2 linked regions of the Cricetulus griseus genome follow. The protein of the gene in region 2 binds, or shares a complex with, the protein of the main gene of each other region. Links are inferred from orthologs where the notes say so. Each region holds a gene or a part of one and is shown on either strand. Other genes may lie near its edges.

Region 1 (6,930 bases), on a different chromosome or scaffold from region 2:
GGTGGGCTCTGTCCCTTGTGTTCCCCATAAATCTGCCAAAGGCTTTAGCCTCTCCGCAGGGTACTTGGCCTCGGTCCTCTTTGCAGAGAGAGGTGGCCAGAGCCCCCATAGTGCCCATTGGCAGTCCCCATGTGATCTGAAGAGAAAGGACCTAGAGTGGAGGTGGGGAAGGAGTCAGAGTACACGAAGGGCAGAGACCTCTTTCTGACAGACTTATTAATAGGGCACCAGGCTGAACGCAGCTGACGCTTGGCAAGGCTTTTGGCAAGTGGGGGAGGGGTCAGAAGTATGGGGAGCCATGTACGTTGCAGGAAAGGAGTGGCCAAGTTGAGGATGAACAGATTTGAAAGCCTAAGATTGAACAAGGAACCTGACTGGAGGATTATTAGGCTCCCAGGACCCACTGTAGTTTATTTGTGGAACAAATGGGGAGACGGTTATTAGTCCAAGGGGAGGTCAGGGGGCTCTTCCTCATCGGAGTCAAATTCAACATTTTCATCTTTTATCCATCGACCTTGTCCATCTGGGATCCATCCAGAGCTGAAAACATCAGAGAAAAAACAACTGGTCAGGGAAGAGTTTTATTTATCTACTTTTTCTTTTCTTTTTTTTTTTTTTTTTTTCGAGACAGGGTTTCTCTATGGCTTTGGAGGCTGTCCTGGAACTAGCTCTTGTAGAACAGGCTGGTCTCAAACTCACAGAGATCCACCTGCCTCTGCCTCCGGAGTGCTGGGACTAAAGGTGTGCGCCGCCACCACCCCCCGGCCAGGGAAGAGTTTTATGAAAAAGGTTTGTGGTACTGGGTTCCATCCCCGGGAGCCACAGGGTATAAAGAAAGGACCAACCCCTATAAGTTGTCCTCTGACTTAACACAAGTATGCCCCTACATAAATAAGTAAATAAATGTAATTTAATTTTTTTTTTCTGGTTTTTCGACACAGGGTTTTCTCTGTGGCTTTGGAGCCTATCCTGGCACTCGCTCTGGAGACCAGGTTGGCCTCCAACTCACAGAGATCCGCCTGCCTCTGCCTCCTGAGTGCTGGGATTAAAGGCTTGCGCCACCAACGCCCGGCTGTAATTTTATTTTTTAAAAAGTTACTGGTGACAAGATAAAAGCAATTGGGTGGGTTTGAAAAACGTCAGGTTGGGAAAATGAAAGAAACCCAAGGAATGTGATTCGGCAGACTAACCTTCGGAGGGTAAGGTAATGGTTCAGGACTCGTCGTTTTGTGGGGCTTATGGGTGCAGAGGCCAGGAGATCTGATGACTCTTTGGCATGTGATCCTGCCTTAGTCTCAGGTTCCCTACTGATCTTTGCACTCTGGAGTCCAACCTCTGGGGCAGGCAAAGGAGAACTGGAGACAGAGGGAGCAGGAGCCTCTGGTCTGGGGAGAAAAGAAACCAAGCCTGTTAAATGCACAGAAGGAAAGTAGCAGCTTCCCCGTGCCTCCCAAGCCTGAAGAGCAGTGTTTCCTAAACTGAGTTCCTGAGTTTTTTGTTTTTTTTTTTTTTCTTTTCCTCGGTTTTTTGAGACAAGGTTTCTCTGTGGCTTTGGAGGCTGTTGGAACTAGCTCTTGTAGATCAGGCTGGTTTAGAACTCACAGAGATCTGCCTACCTCTGCCTCCCAGAGTGCTGGGACTAAAGGCGTGAGCCACCACTGCCTGGCTAGTTCCTGAGGTTTTTTTGTTTGCTTTTTTGGAGATAGAGTACATATGATGGACCTGGAATTTACTAGGTAGATGAGGCTGTCCTTAAATTTACAGAGATCCACTTGCCTCTGCCTCCTAAGTACTGGGATTAAAAGTGTATACCACCACACCCAGCTTGAGTTCCATAAGATCTTAAATATTTTACATATGAAAGATTTTGGAATTAGGAACTTGAGAAAAGCCAGCTTAATAGTTCTACGCTTTTGCCTCAAGATTTTCCATAACCAGGTATGGTGGTACACACTTTTAGTACCTGCAGCACTTAAGGGGCAGAGAAAGGCAGATCTCTGTAAGTTTGAGGCCACCCTGGTCTAAATAGCAGGGTTCCAGGACAGCCAGGGCTACAAAGGGAGATCCCCTCTCAATAACAAACAAAAAAGTGTACCACTATGCCCAGATTATGTTACTTTTTTTTTTTTTTCCTCTGTAGCCCCGGCTGGCCTGGAACTCAGAGACCCACTGGCCTTGCTTCTGGAGTGCCAGGATTAAAGGCGTGTGCCACCATCCAGCAATAATGTTACTATTTTTTTGTGTGTGTGTGCATTATTTTGTTTTTCAAGGCAGGGTTTTTGTTTGTTTGGTGTAGACTTGGCTGTCCTGGAACTCACTCTATAGATCAGAGATCTACTTGCCTTGTCTCCGGAGTGCTGGGATTAAAGTGTGAGCCACCAACACCCGGCTAAAATTTATTTTAAAATCACAAACTATCACCAGGCGATGGTGTCCCACGCCTTTAATTGCAGTACTCAGGAGGCAGAGGCAGGGGGATCTCTGTGAGTTCGAGGCCAGCCTGGTCACCAGAGCAAGTGCCAGGATAGGCTCCAAAGCTACAGAGAGAAACTCTTGTCTTGAAAAACCAAAACAAAAAACAAAAACAAAACAAACCACAAACTATCATTTTTCTTTAAACAACATCTCCACAAGATTAGTGTTTCTCAGAGTACAGTTTGGAGAGCAGTAACTTCAGAACCATCTATTTCCTTCTACCCTTTCCCACTTCCGGATTTCCCCCTCTACAGACCTGTGCTTCCTCCGGCAGCAACTGCTATAGTGAGGAGCTCTGTGCAGAGCACTCTGGGTGATTAATCGAGTCTGGGTTAGCAAAGGTGCCTGGTTATCAAGAGAAGAAGACACAGTTGGAGATGTTAGGCAAAAGTCCTGTTGCATGCAGTACAGCCCTGCCTGAACAACACCTGACCAGATCTCTCACCTCGGCTTTGCTTTCTGTCTTCAATTCATTTTGCTGTCTTGGTTTTTGCTCTGTTTTCTTGCCTGATTGCTTTTTGCCATAGAAGAGCTTCAAACCTGAAAAGGAAAGCAAGCACAACATCAAGTAGACTGACAAAATGTTCAGAGTGTATTCTCTATCATTCCTCCACTCCCCGCCTTCTCCTGTACTTACTGGATAGGTGCTTCTTGCCTGCACGGTGGGCAGTCAGCATGGCCAGCGTGTCCAGGACTGGTCGATGGGGGCAGATAGCGCAAGCAAAGCTAGGGAAAAGAGAAGTGAATGGCAAACCCGTATGTGTTGGAGAGCCGGTGGTTGGGGTGTTCCTACTTAGGGGCTATGCCTGTCAAAGCACTCCACCAACGCCCAGGTCTCCCGATCGCCACCTCTTCCAATCTTCACTTCCAACCAAAGGATCTATTACACTCCTGATCTCCTTAGAAACCAAAGTCTGTTGAGCCTCTGATAGCAAATCCCCAGGCTTGATCCACTCTGCTCTCACCGTCCATCCCGCAGCATTAGCGCCTCATCCTCTGGGATGTAACTGGCCAGCAAGTCTCCAACTCTTCGTTTCTGCAGAGAGCAGGACAGGAGAAACGAATATGAGGGATGGATGAAAAGAAATAACAGGGATAAAGAGTCAAATGGAGCAGACCATAGGGTAAGAAGGAGGAGGCATCACTCAGTTCTGGCCCCCGAAACCCCCTCCCACAGATGTCGCCAGAGCAACAAAACAATGCAAAGCGCGACTGAAGCTGGGCTCTCCCTCTCTCTAGTTCTTTGATTTTTCGAGACAGGGTTTCTTCGTGTAGCCTTGACTGTTCTAGAGCTGGCTGTGTGGACCAGGCTGGCCTCGAACCTCAAACGCAACACGGACACACCGGCTTTTGCCTCGCAAGTGCTGGGATTCAAAGCGTGCGCCACCACTGCTCGTGGGTAGACTCTCACTAGGGCTTACTTTGAGCACATTGAGCTGACTCCAGTCGTCACCTTCCCTCTTGAAAGACATCACGACTGTGAGTCTTAGAAATAATAAATTCTCCTACGCCTACTTTGCCTCTCCTTCGGGCCACCGTAGGAAGAGTAGGTTATCGCCTTCCCTGCTTCCGGTCTTTTTCTGATTAAGTCTTTACTTCCGGGGATGCGTTTCCACGCATGCACCGCGCGAGCCGGAAGACCCGCCTCCAGAGCCCTGAGGGTGCCTGCATTTCCTATGATGCCCTGAGAACGCTTTGCCTTTTGGGAAATGAAGTCTTTTAGTTATTTTCTTTTTTTTGTTGTTTTTAAAAGACCTCACCGCTCACCTGAGTACAGGCACTCACATCGCGAAGGACCCAGGTGTTTGGAGACCAAGAACCTGTACGTGGAGCCGGAGTTTCAGGGTGGGACCCTCCTGGCGTGGAGCGAGGCTTCGGGGATCTCAGTGGACCGTGTACTGCAAACTCTCTCAGTCCCCAGGCTCACCGTCCACAGCCACGATCTACCTGGGGTGGGCCTGATTTGGAGCAGAGAGGATGTGGGGGCTCCCGGCGGCCCGGCTGCGGGACGTGGGGACACACTGAGGGGAGAGTGTTGATGAGGGTGTCTAGGGTTCAAAGGTCAGAGATCAGGCTTGCAAGGAGTTGGGGAGAGGGCGTCGAAAGTCGAAGGGGTCGGCGACCGACCACTCAGGGAAGATATTTATGGGCAAGGGTCTTGAGGAAGGAGAAATGTAACCGGCCTGGCAGCCTTCTTAGGGTACGGACTGTGACCCCAAGCTCGGTAAGCAGCAGCAAGAGGAGCATTGATGTAGTCTCTCGAGAGCGGGGACACTAAAGAGAGAAGTGAGAAGGAATTCCTAGAATATCTATCCATTCCTGGGGTTCGGCCCTCACTGTTGGTCACTTAGCTTTCCTCAGTTGTGACCCTAGATCTTGGCATCTTGAGATGGCTTCTCCCTCTAGACAGCCCCCACTTGGGGGGTCAGGGCTGCTGCATGGGAGCCGTGCTCGTTCTTATGGAAGCCTGGTACAATCATCGTGCTCCCCGGTGAGGGAAAGACGCTTGGAGCATCAGTTGGAGCCTGGAGACACCCTGGCTGGACTAGCACTCAAATACGGGGTGACGGTGAGTCTTCCAAGGATTGTGGTGTGGTGACCATTCAGGAGAGATTTAGTGCCCAGGAGAAACTGGGTGGTCTGCTAAGCGGCCTTCCCTGATGTTATATTAATTATATTGTGGTCTCTGCTTTGTCTTATTTTGTTTACACCTCTCAGGGTAGCACTATCCACACTCACAGACCTGCCCTACTATCCCAGTGGGAGGAGCAGCTCCTTGGATTGGGTTGGATGCCGGGATAGGGTGGTGGTTGGGGTGTGGTTTATAGCCATTAACCTATTTGGATCTTGTGCCCCTATCACCGTGAGACTCACCGTGAGACTCACCGTGAGACTCACCGTGAGACTCACCGTGAGACTCACCGTGAGACTCACCGTGAGACGTAAGACGGATAACCAGTTTGATCAAGGTCAAATAACTTTGAGTGTCAGAGTAAGGTTTCAGATAGGTCTGTCTGACTCTAAGTCCCCTACTATTAGCCACGAACAAAAAAACTAAAAGTGAGTAAACATTTACACAAGTCAGAAAGAACTGTGTTAGTAGAGTTCCTAAAGTGCCTGTTTCTAGTTCTTTCCACTCTGTGCTTTCTTTCCGGCGAGGCACAAAACAAGTACCCTCTATATACATCAAACATTTCTGGTCACACCTAGGAGAAGTTTGATGGGCATAAAAATTAAAGTTGTAGCCTCCCCCTCTCTATCCTTTTTACCACATACAAACAAATGTTGAATTTAGACAAATTTCCCTGCTTGCTGTACTTAAAGCATTATAGTAACCCTTCCTGGAGATAAAGCATAAATGTGTATTGGTGTGCTCAAGTAATTTAAATTCTCATGAGAATAGAGAAGAAGAATGGCTATGTAGAAATATTCGCAAGGGGCGGGATATCAGGAGCTGTTAATTTTTGTTTGGAATTGAGAGTGGGTATTAGTTGATTTTTGTGTGTGGTGGGGAGGGTGGATTTTCTTTCTTTCTTTTTTTCTTTCTTTCTTTTTTTTTTTTTGTTATATTTTGTTTTTTTGAGACAGGATTTCTCTGTCTTTGGAGCCTGCCCTGGAACTCCTCTGTAGACCAGGCTGGCCTCGAACTCACAGAGATCCGCCTGCCTCTTGAGTGCTGGGATTAAAGGTGTGTGTCACCACTGACAGCAGGGTGGATTTTCTAGTCAGTATGTCACTGTGTAGCCTAAACTGGCCTGGAACTTAAAGTGCTCTTTTATCTTGAGTGCTGAGATGAGGAGTGTGAACAAGGCACTCGGGGGCGTGGGTTTTAGGAGTACTGTCATATGGGCCTTGAAGACTTGGGAACTTTTCCCTCTGTGTTCCCTTCTGCAGTCTGTGAGCCCAGATGTTTGTCTCCTTGTCTTCCTGCAGTCTACAGGCTCTTTAAGAGAAGAAAGTTTCCTTTCAACTTTATGTCTCTAAGTTCTGGCATAGTCTCAATGACATGGAAGTTTAAAAGTTTTCTGAAAGCTGCTGGTGTAGTGTTGCAGGCAGAGGCAGGTGGATCTCTGTGGGTTTGAGGCCAGCCTGGTCTATAGAGTGAGTTTCAGAACAGGCTGTTACATAGAGAAACCCTGTCTGGAATCAGGAAAAAAAAAAATGTCTGAAAGCCAGGCTTGGTGGCTCAGACCTATAATCTCAGCCGTTAGGATGCCTAGGCAAAGGGATTCCAGACCAAGGGTGAGTTGAAGTGGTAGAATGCAGAAGAGAGAAAGCTAGACACTTTCTGCTGGGGCTAGTGAGGAGCCATAGGAAGTTGCTAGCCAGCTAGAGGGTTAGTCAGATTCATTCTTCTAGATGTCAAGAGAAAGATATGTGGACATGAAAGAGGAAGAGCAGTTAGACTGAACAATCAACCCTGATGAGAAATATTAAGTGTGAGCCAGGCGTTGG
Region 2 (5,691 bases):
AGCCCCTGAAAAGCATTTAACACTGATCCAAAGCTGGCTTCAAGAAGCTGAGAAGTGCTGTTACTAGTGTCCTGTAGGATGCGTTGTCAGTACAGTGGTAGAGAGTTTTGGGGCATGAGTGACCCCGTAGAAGACTTGGGTGATGTAAAAGCAACTGTGTGGCCTCCTTTGCATGTCTGTTCTCAATGCTGTGTTGTTTTGTTTCCCCTTTCTGTCTAGGGCTGCCTCACCAAGCCCTCAGTCCGCCAGAAGGGTTTCCTCTTCCCGATCTGTCTCTGGATCTCCTGAGCCAGCAGCTAAAAAGGCCCCAGCACCTCCATCTCCTGTCCAGTGTCAGTCGCCCTCCACCAACTGGTCCCCTGCAGTGCCCGTCAAAAAGGCTAAAAGCCCAACACCAAGCCCGTCCCCTGCAAGGGTGTGTGTGTGCCCTGTTCTGGGCATCTTTATCATTAGTCATGGGGGTTGATGGTGGGTGCTTAAGATGGTGAGTGCTTACAGTCCCAGCACTTGGTGGGCAGCAGCAGGATCAGGACTTGAAGGCCAGCCTGGGTTGTACAGTGAGATCCTGTCTCAAAAACAGTTGAGTTACAAGTTAGTTAAATTCTTACATAAATTTAGTGTAAAGATAGTCTGCTGTATGGTGGTTCCATTAAATAATCTTTGATTCTGTGGTATGAGAGTGATCTATGTTCAATAGAAACCACACTTTGAATTTTTGGGGGGTGGGGGAGTATTTCGAGACAGGGTTTCTCTGTGGCTTTGGAGGCTGTCCTGGAACTAGCTCTTGTAGACCAGGCTGGCCTCGAACTCACAGATCTAACTGCCTCTGCATCTCAAGTGCTGGGATTAAAGGTATGCGCCACCACCGCCCAGCTTGAATTTGAATTTTGATCCTCTTTTCTAGGTTAGTGAACAGCACAAACTGTTACTGATATTCAGTGAATTAGTGAGCAATTCAACATTACTGCAGTCAGCTTTGTATTAGACAACTACGTAGCTGTAGGCCAGTGTGTGTTCTGAGCATGCTGAAGGCAGTATGGCTAAGCCATGGGTTGGGGAGGTGTAAAGATAGATTTTACTTAGGTGGGATGTAACTTAGAGGGTTTATTAAGTTGCAGCCCTGTTGTAAATGGAACATTTGGGCTAGTAAGGAAGATGGCTCTGTGGGTACAGGTACTTGCCTCCAAGCCTGAAAACCTGAGTTCAGTTCCCAGGACCCACAGTGTAGGAGAGAACTAATTCCTGTAAGTGGAACATCTCTGTACAGCAGAGTGAAGTTGTGGTTCAGGTTTTATTCTGGCATTTTTTGGATTCATATCTGGCATCGTATACTGAGATCCTGCTATGTGTTTTGTATTATATGAGGTTGTCCCTGCTCGTGTCCAGGAGCTGGGAGGCAGCTCATGGTCAGCCCATGGCTCCAGCTGTCGGCACCTCCATCACACCCTGAAGCTAGAAACGCTGGCAATAATAGAAGGGAAAGTGGCTTTGTGGGCGACCTTGGCTTTGGTGCGTCACCGCTGGTATTGGTGTCTGTGCACTTCTGTGCAACATTTATTTGTCTGAGATTCCCTCTAGGAAATAAAACAGGATTTTAATCAGATCAATTACATCACTGTTTCTTTCTGGGTTTCTAGAATTCTGATCAAGAAGGAGGTGGAAAGAAGAAGAAGAAAAAGAAGGACAAGAAACACAAAAAGGATAAGAAACACAAGAAGCACAAAAAACACAAGAAGGAGAAGGCTGTGGCTGTAGCCACTGCAGCTCCTGCCACCCCTGCAGCTATTTCTGCTGCCACAACCACATCAGCACAGCAAGAGCCTGTGGCAGCCACAGAGCCCAGGAAGGTATTCACCCACCACCTCTGCTCTGCTAGCTGCTACTCAGGGCTAATGTTTCCTGAGGCCTTCCAGGACCAAGGAGAAGAGTACAGATGGCTTCCCAAAAGCTTAATGCTCCAGTGCCTGTCCTGGAACTTACTCTGGGGATCAGGCTGGTCTCAAACTCACAGAGATCCGCCTGCCTCTGCCTCCCGAGTGCTAGGACTAACTAAAGGCATGCGCCACCACTGCCCAGTTTTTTAATTTTTTAAACTACTTTCTGGGCAGTGCTGGGACAAGAGCACAGTGCAGGACTTTTTGCTGTGCGTTAGGCATGTGTGCTTCCACTGAGCACACCCCTAGTCACACATACTAAATGCAACCAAAAAAAAATTCACATAATGGGAAAAGGTGGCGGGGGCTCCCAAATAACCAACAGTGGCTGGTTTTGTGTGTGTTCATCCATTGTGTACATGTAAAAGCCATTGGTATCCCCTTTTTTTTTTCCCCCGTGTTTTTATTGCATTTTATTTGTGTGTACACGAAGACACCCGAACATCTACACAGAAAGGTCAAGACAATTTTGACTAGTTAGCCTTCCACCATGTGGAGGAGTACTTTTGAGCAAACATGAGTCATTAGGGTTAGCCAGATGGTGGTGGCGTGTGCCTTTAATCCCAGCACTCAAGAGGCACTCTGTGAGTTTGAAGCCAGCCTGGTCTACAAAGCTACATAGAGGAACCACATACAAGTCATCAGGGTTGGTGGCAGGCTCCCTAAGCTATCTTGTCTGGAGTTCACTATTTCAAATAGACTGGACCACCTCCCCAGCACTTGGGGTTGCAGGTGCACTGCTACCAGGGGACCCTAACTCAGATCCTCGTGCCTGCATAGCAAGCATAGGTCTTACGACTCAGTTTGTGGAGGGCTTGCTTAGCAGGCTCAAGGCCTTGGGTATGGTTCCCCAAGCCCCAGATAAACTGGGTGTGGTACTGTGGGTGCTTGTAAGGCCAGCACTTGGGAGGCTGAGGCAGAAAGATCCGAGGCTCATGGTTGTTCTGGCTCCTTAACAAGTTCTAAACAAGCCTGGGATACGAAGAGACACCTGTCTTAGAAGTCATGATTTAAAGTGGGTGCTTTTTATATAAGCAGAGTGTATTGTTGCTGCAGTTTGGCTCTGGTCTGTACTCAGCATCTCCTGCTGTGTCTCAAGCCTTAACATCTGCCTGGTTTGGCTTTGTTTTCCAGGAGACTGAAAGTGAAGCTGAGGACAACCTTGATGACTTAGAGAGGCACCTTCGGGAAAAGGCCCTTCGGTCCATGCGGAAGGCTCAAGTGTCCCCACAGTCCTAGGGGGACATGTTTGTTACGTTGTAAATTTTATTTGGTTTGTACTCAATTTCAAAATTGCTAAAATGTGTTTGAGCTTTAGACTATAACATTTGTTGTAATAATTGCTAGGTTGAAGTTCACCATGGGTTTTTCTTTTTTTTTCTTTTTTTTTTTTTTCTTTTTTTTTAAAGAGGGCATGGATTTACATTACAAAGGTGTCCACAGTGTATTAGTGACATTCTTCCATTGACATTTAGAGTGAAATATTTTAAGCCCCCCCAAAAAAAGATTTTTTTTTAAGGGCATTTAAATATTGTTGGCATTCTTGTGGTTCCTTTAAATGCCTTTGCCTCCCCTCCCCGCCTGTTTTTCTTCCTTCCTCTTGAATTTTGGGATCCATGTGAATTATGCTTACAACCTTGTATAGGTTTGTAAGCTTGCCCAGAAGTGAGACCACTGTGAAGTACCACAAAGGTCTGAGTGAGTGTTTTCACTCCCGTTGTCTCTGCCGACACCTCGGGATCTCAGCTCTAGAGAGCAGGGGAGGCACTGCTCATGGGTGCTGGAGATTCTGTCCGAGTGTGACAGCTTCCTAAGTTGATTTACAACTCTGGGATTTTTGTCCTCTTTAGGTTGATTTGTTTTGTTTTTCTGTCTCCCCCTTTTTTCTTTCTCTTTTGTAAAGGCAATTTGCTAGACCCAGCAAGGACCCTTCAGTTACATAAATTTGTTTTATGAAACTGCATGGGCCCATCCATATTTTTTTCCCTTACTCTTCCAATTGGTACACAAAACTGAAGAGCTCTTGCATTGGCAGGCTGGGAGGGCCTGGACTTGGACATAGTGTCTTGGTTTCACTGTTTTATTTTATTTTATTTTTTAACTAAAGCTATATAAAGCTTGTGGATTAAACAGAATAAATTTCTAAATTTAAAAACGTTGCCACTCACTTTAACTCACTTGCCTGGGTACTACAAGACAACTCCACCATCTTGGTAGAACTGGATGTGCAGGGAAAATGAGAATCGATGAAGCAGGATTTTCCCCTTTTATTTACTAATTAACTTCAGAGAGTGCTAGAGGGGAAAGTGTGGTGAGTTCTTGGAACATGAGAAGCGGGGGAGGGTAATTCGACAGCAAAAGCAGATGTCTTTGAGGCAGATCGTTGAGGCAGATCGCACAGTATCATTGCCCTCAGGTTTGGGGGGGCAGGGCCTAGCACTCCCAGAAAGGAACTTACTTGGAGGTGGGCCAGAGAATGTGAGGCAGAGCAGTCACCTTTGTATGAGAAAGGAGCTGAGAGCTTGGGCACCAGGAGTCTCAGCTGATTATTTGGATCCATGGGTACATTTGTTAGTAATTTCTGACACTTGACACAGAAACGCAAGATGCTCAGGTCTTAATTTCAGGAAAACTTGGGTTTGGGTTTGGTTTGGTTTGGTTTGGGGTTTTGATGTTTTCTTGTTTTTGTTTACTTTATTTATTGGCTTTTACCCAAAAGACCTCAGTAGTGATGGGCTGATTCTACATGGGGTTATAATAAAGAAAGGCATACTAAATGAAGATAGTCCCGAAGGACTCCCCAGCTGACAATAGAGTTTCACATGAGAGCAGAACTTTCCAGGTTCTCCCATGTATTACAAGTAAGTGGAAACTAAACGTGGAGACATGGGAGAAGCAGTGTTCAGCTTCTGGAAGGTTGATTGCCAGCATAAACAACCAGTGAGCACCATTGGAATATTTCCATCTGTTTAGCCCTTCATCTGGAGCATTTATGACTCGATTCCTGCTACTCATGAGTTTTCATTCTTTCCCTTCGGCTGCCCTTGGCCATAGCTGTACTCAACTGAAGCCAGATCAACAGCAGTCTTTGGCTACACGGGGAAGTCAGGTTGTTTAGAGGCTAACCCAGGCTACATGACATCTTGTCTGGAAGATGGATCCAGGTGTGTTAGCACACATCTGTAATCCCAGCACTCAGGAAACAACTGGAGGGTCATCCTTCCGAGCCTTGTCTCTGGTTTCCTTTGAGACAGGGTCTTGCTGTTGAATTCATGAACTCAAGTGATGCAACAAGATGAGTCAGCATTTCACTTGGACTCAAAAAATAATAAAGAAGCTGGGGGTGGTGCACGCCTTTAATCCCAGCACTCCGGAGGCAGAGGCAGGCGGATCTCTATGAGTTGGAGTCTAGCCTGGTCTACAAGAACTAGTTCCAGGACAGCCTCCAAAGCCACAGAGAAACCCTGTCTCAAAAAACCAAAATAATAATAATAAAAGAAAATGAAGGAAGTGGGAAGGAGACTAGAGCTGGGTGTGGTCAAGATGTTTGTTGTTGTTACACATGTGAGATTGCCAAAAATTATAGCATTTTTGTTTCTTTTTAAAGAAAGGGGCTGGAGGTGTAGCTCAGTTGGTAGTATCTACCTAACATCTCCAACGCCCTGGGTTCAATCCCAGCACTGTGTAAACCAGGGGTGGGACCCCTGCATTTCCAGCACTTGGAAATTGTCTGCTAAAGAATCAAGTTCAGGTTAAG

What was found. Proteins that work in one complex are often made in the same cells at the same time.
Region 1: Srrm1 (region 2) and Scnm1 share a complex: the UniProt entries of both Homo sapiens proteins name them as parts of the minor spliceosome. The link is inferred for Cricetulus griseus from reciprocal best matches to the Homo sapiens genes SRRM1 and SCNM1.

Annotation. Positions count from the first base shown.
Region 1 is NW_023276806.1:61,365,711-61,372,640, reverse strand, and holds Scnm1 (sodium channel modifier 1), read right to left. Parts: upstream 4,064-6,930; 5' UTR 3,948-4,063; coding exon 3,897-3,947; intron 3,512-3,896; coding exon 3,441-3,511; intron 3,202-3,440; coding exon 3,113-3,201; intron 3,016-3,112; coding exon 2,921-3,015; intron 2,821-2,920; coding exon 2,732-2,820; intron 1,386-2,731; coding exon 1,191-1,385; intron 541-1,190; coding exon 441-540; 3' UTR 376-440; downstream 1-375. Other genes in the region: Lysmd1 (lysM and putative peptidoglycan-binding domain-containing protein 1), read left to right, coding at 4,185-4,297, 4,849-5,044. UniProt on the Homo sapiens protein: As a component of the minor spliceosome, involved in the splicing of U12-type introns in pre-mRNAs. Plays a role in the regulation of primary cilia length and Hedgehog signaling.
Region 2 is NC_048595.1:17,949,915-17,955,605, forward strand, and holds the end of Srrm1 (serine/arginine repetitive matrix protein 1), read left to right. Parts: intron 1-219; coding exon 220-415; intron 416-1,637; coding exon 1,638-1,847; intron 1,848-3,068; coding exon 3,069-3,173; 3' UTR 3,174-4,093; downstream 4,094-5,691. UniProt on the Homo sapiens protein: Part of pre- and post-splicing multiprotein mRNP complexes. As a component of the minor spliceosome, involved in the splicing of U12-type introns in pre-mRNAs. Involved in numerous pre-mRNA processing events.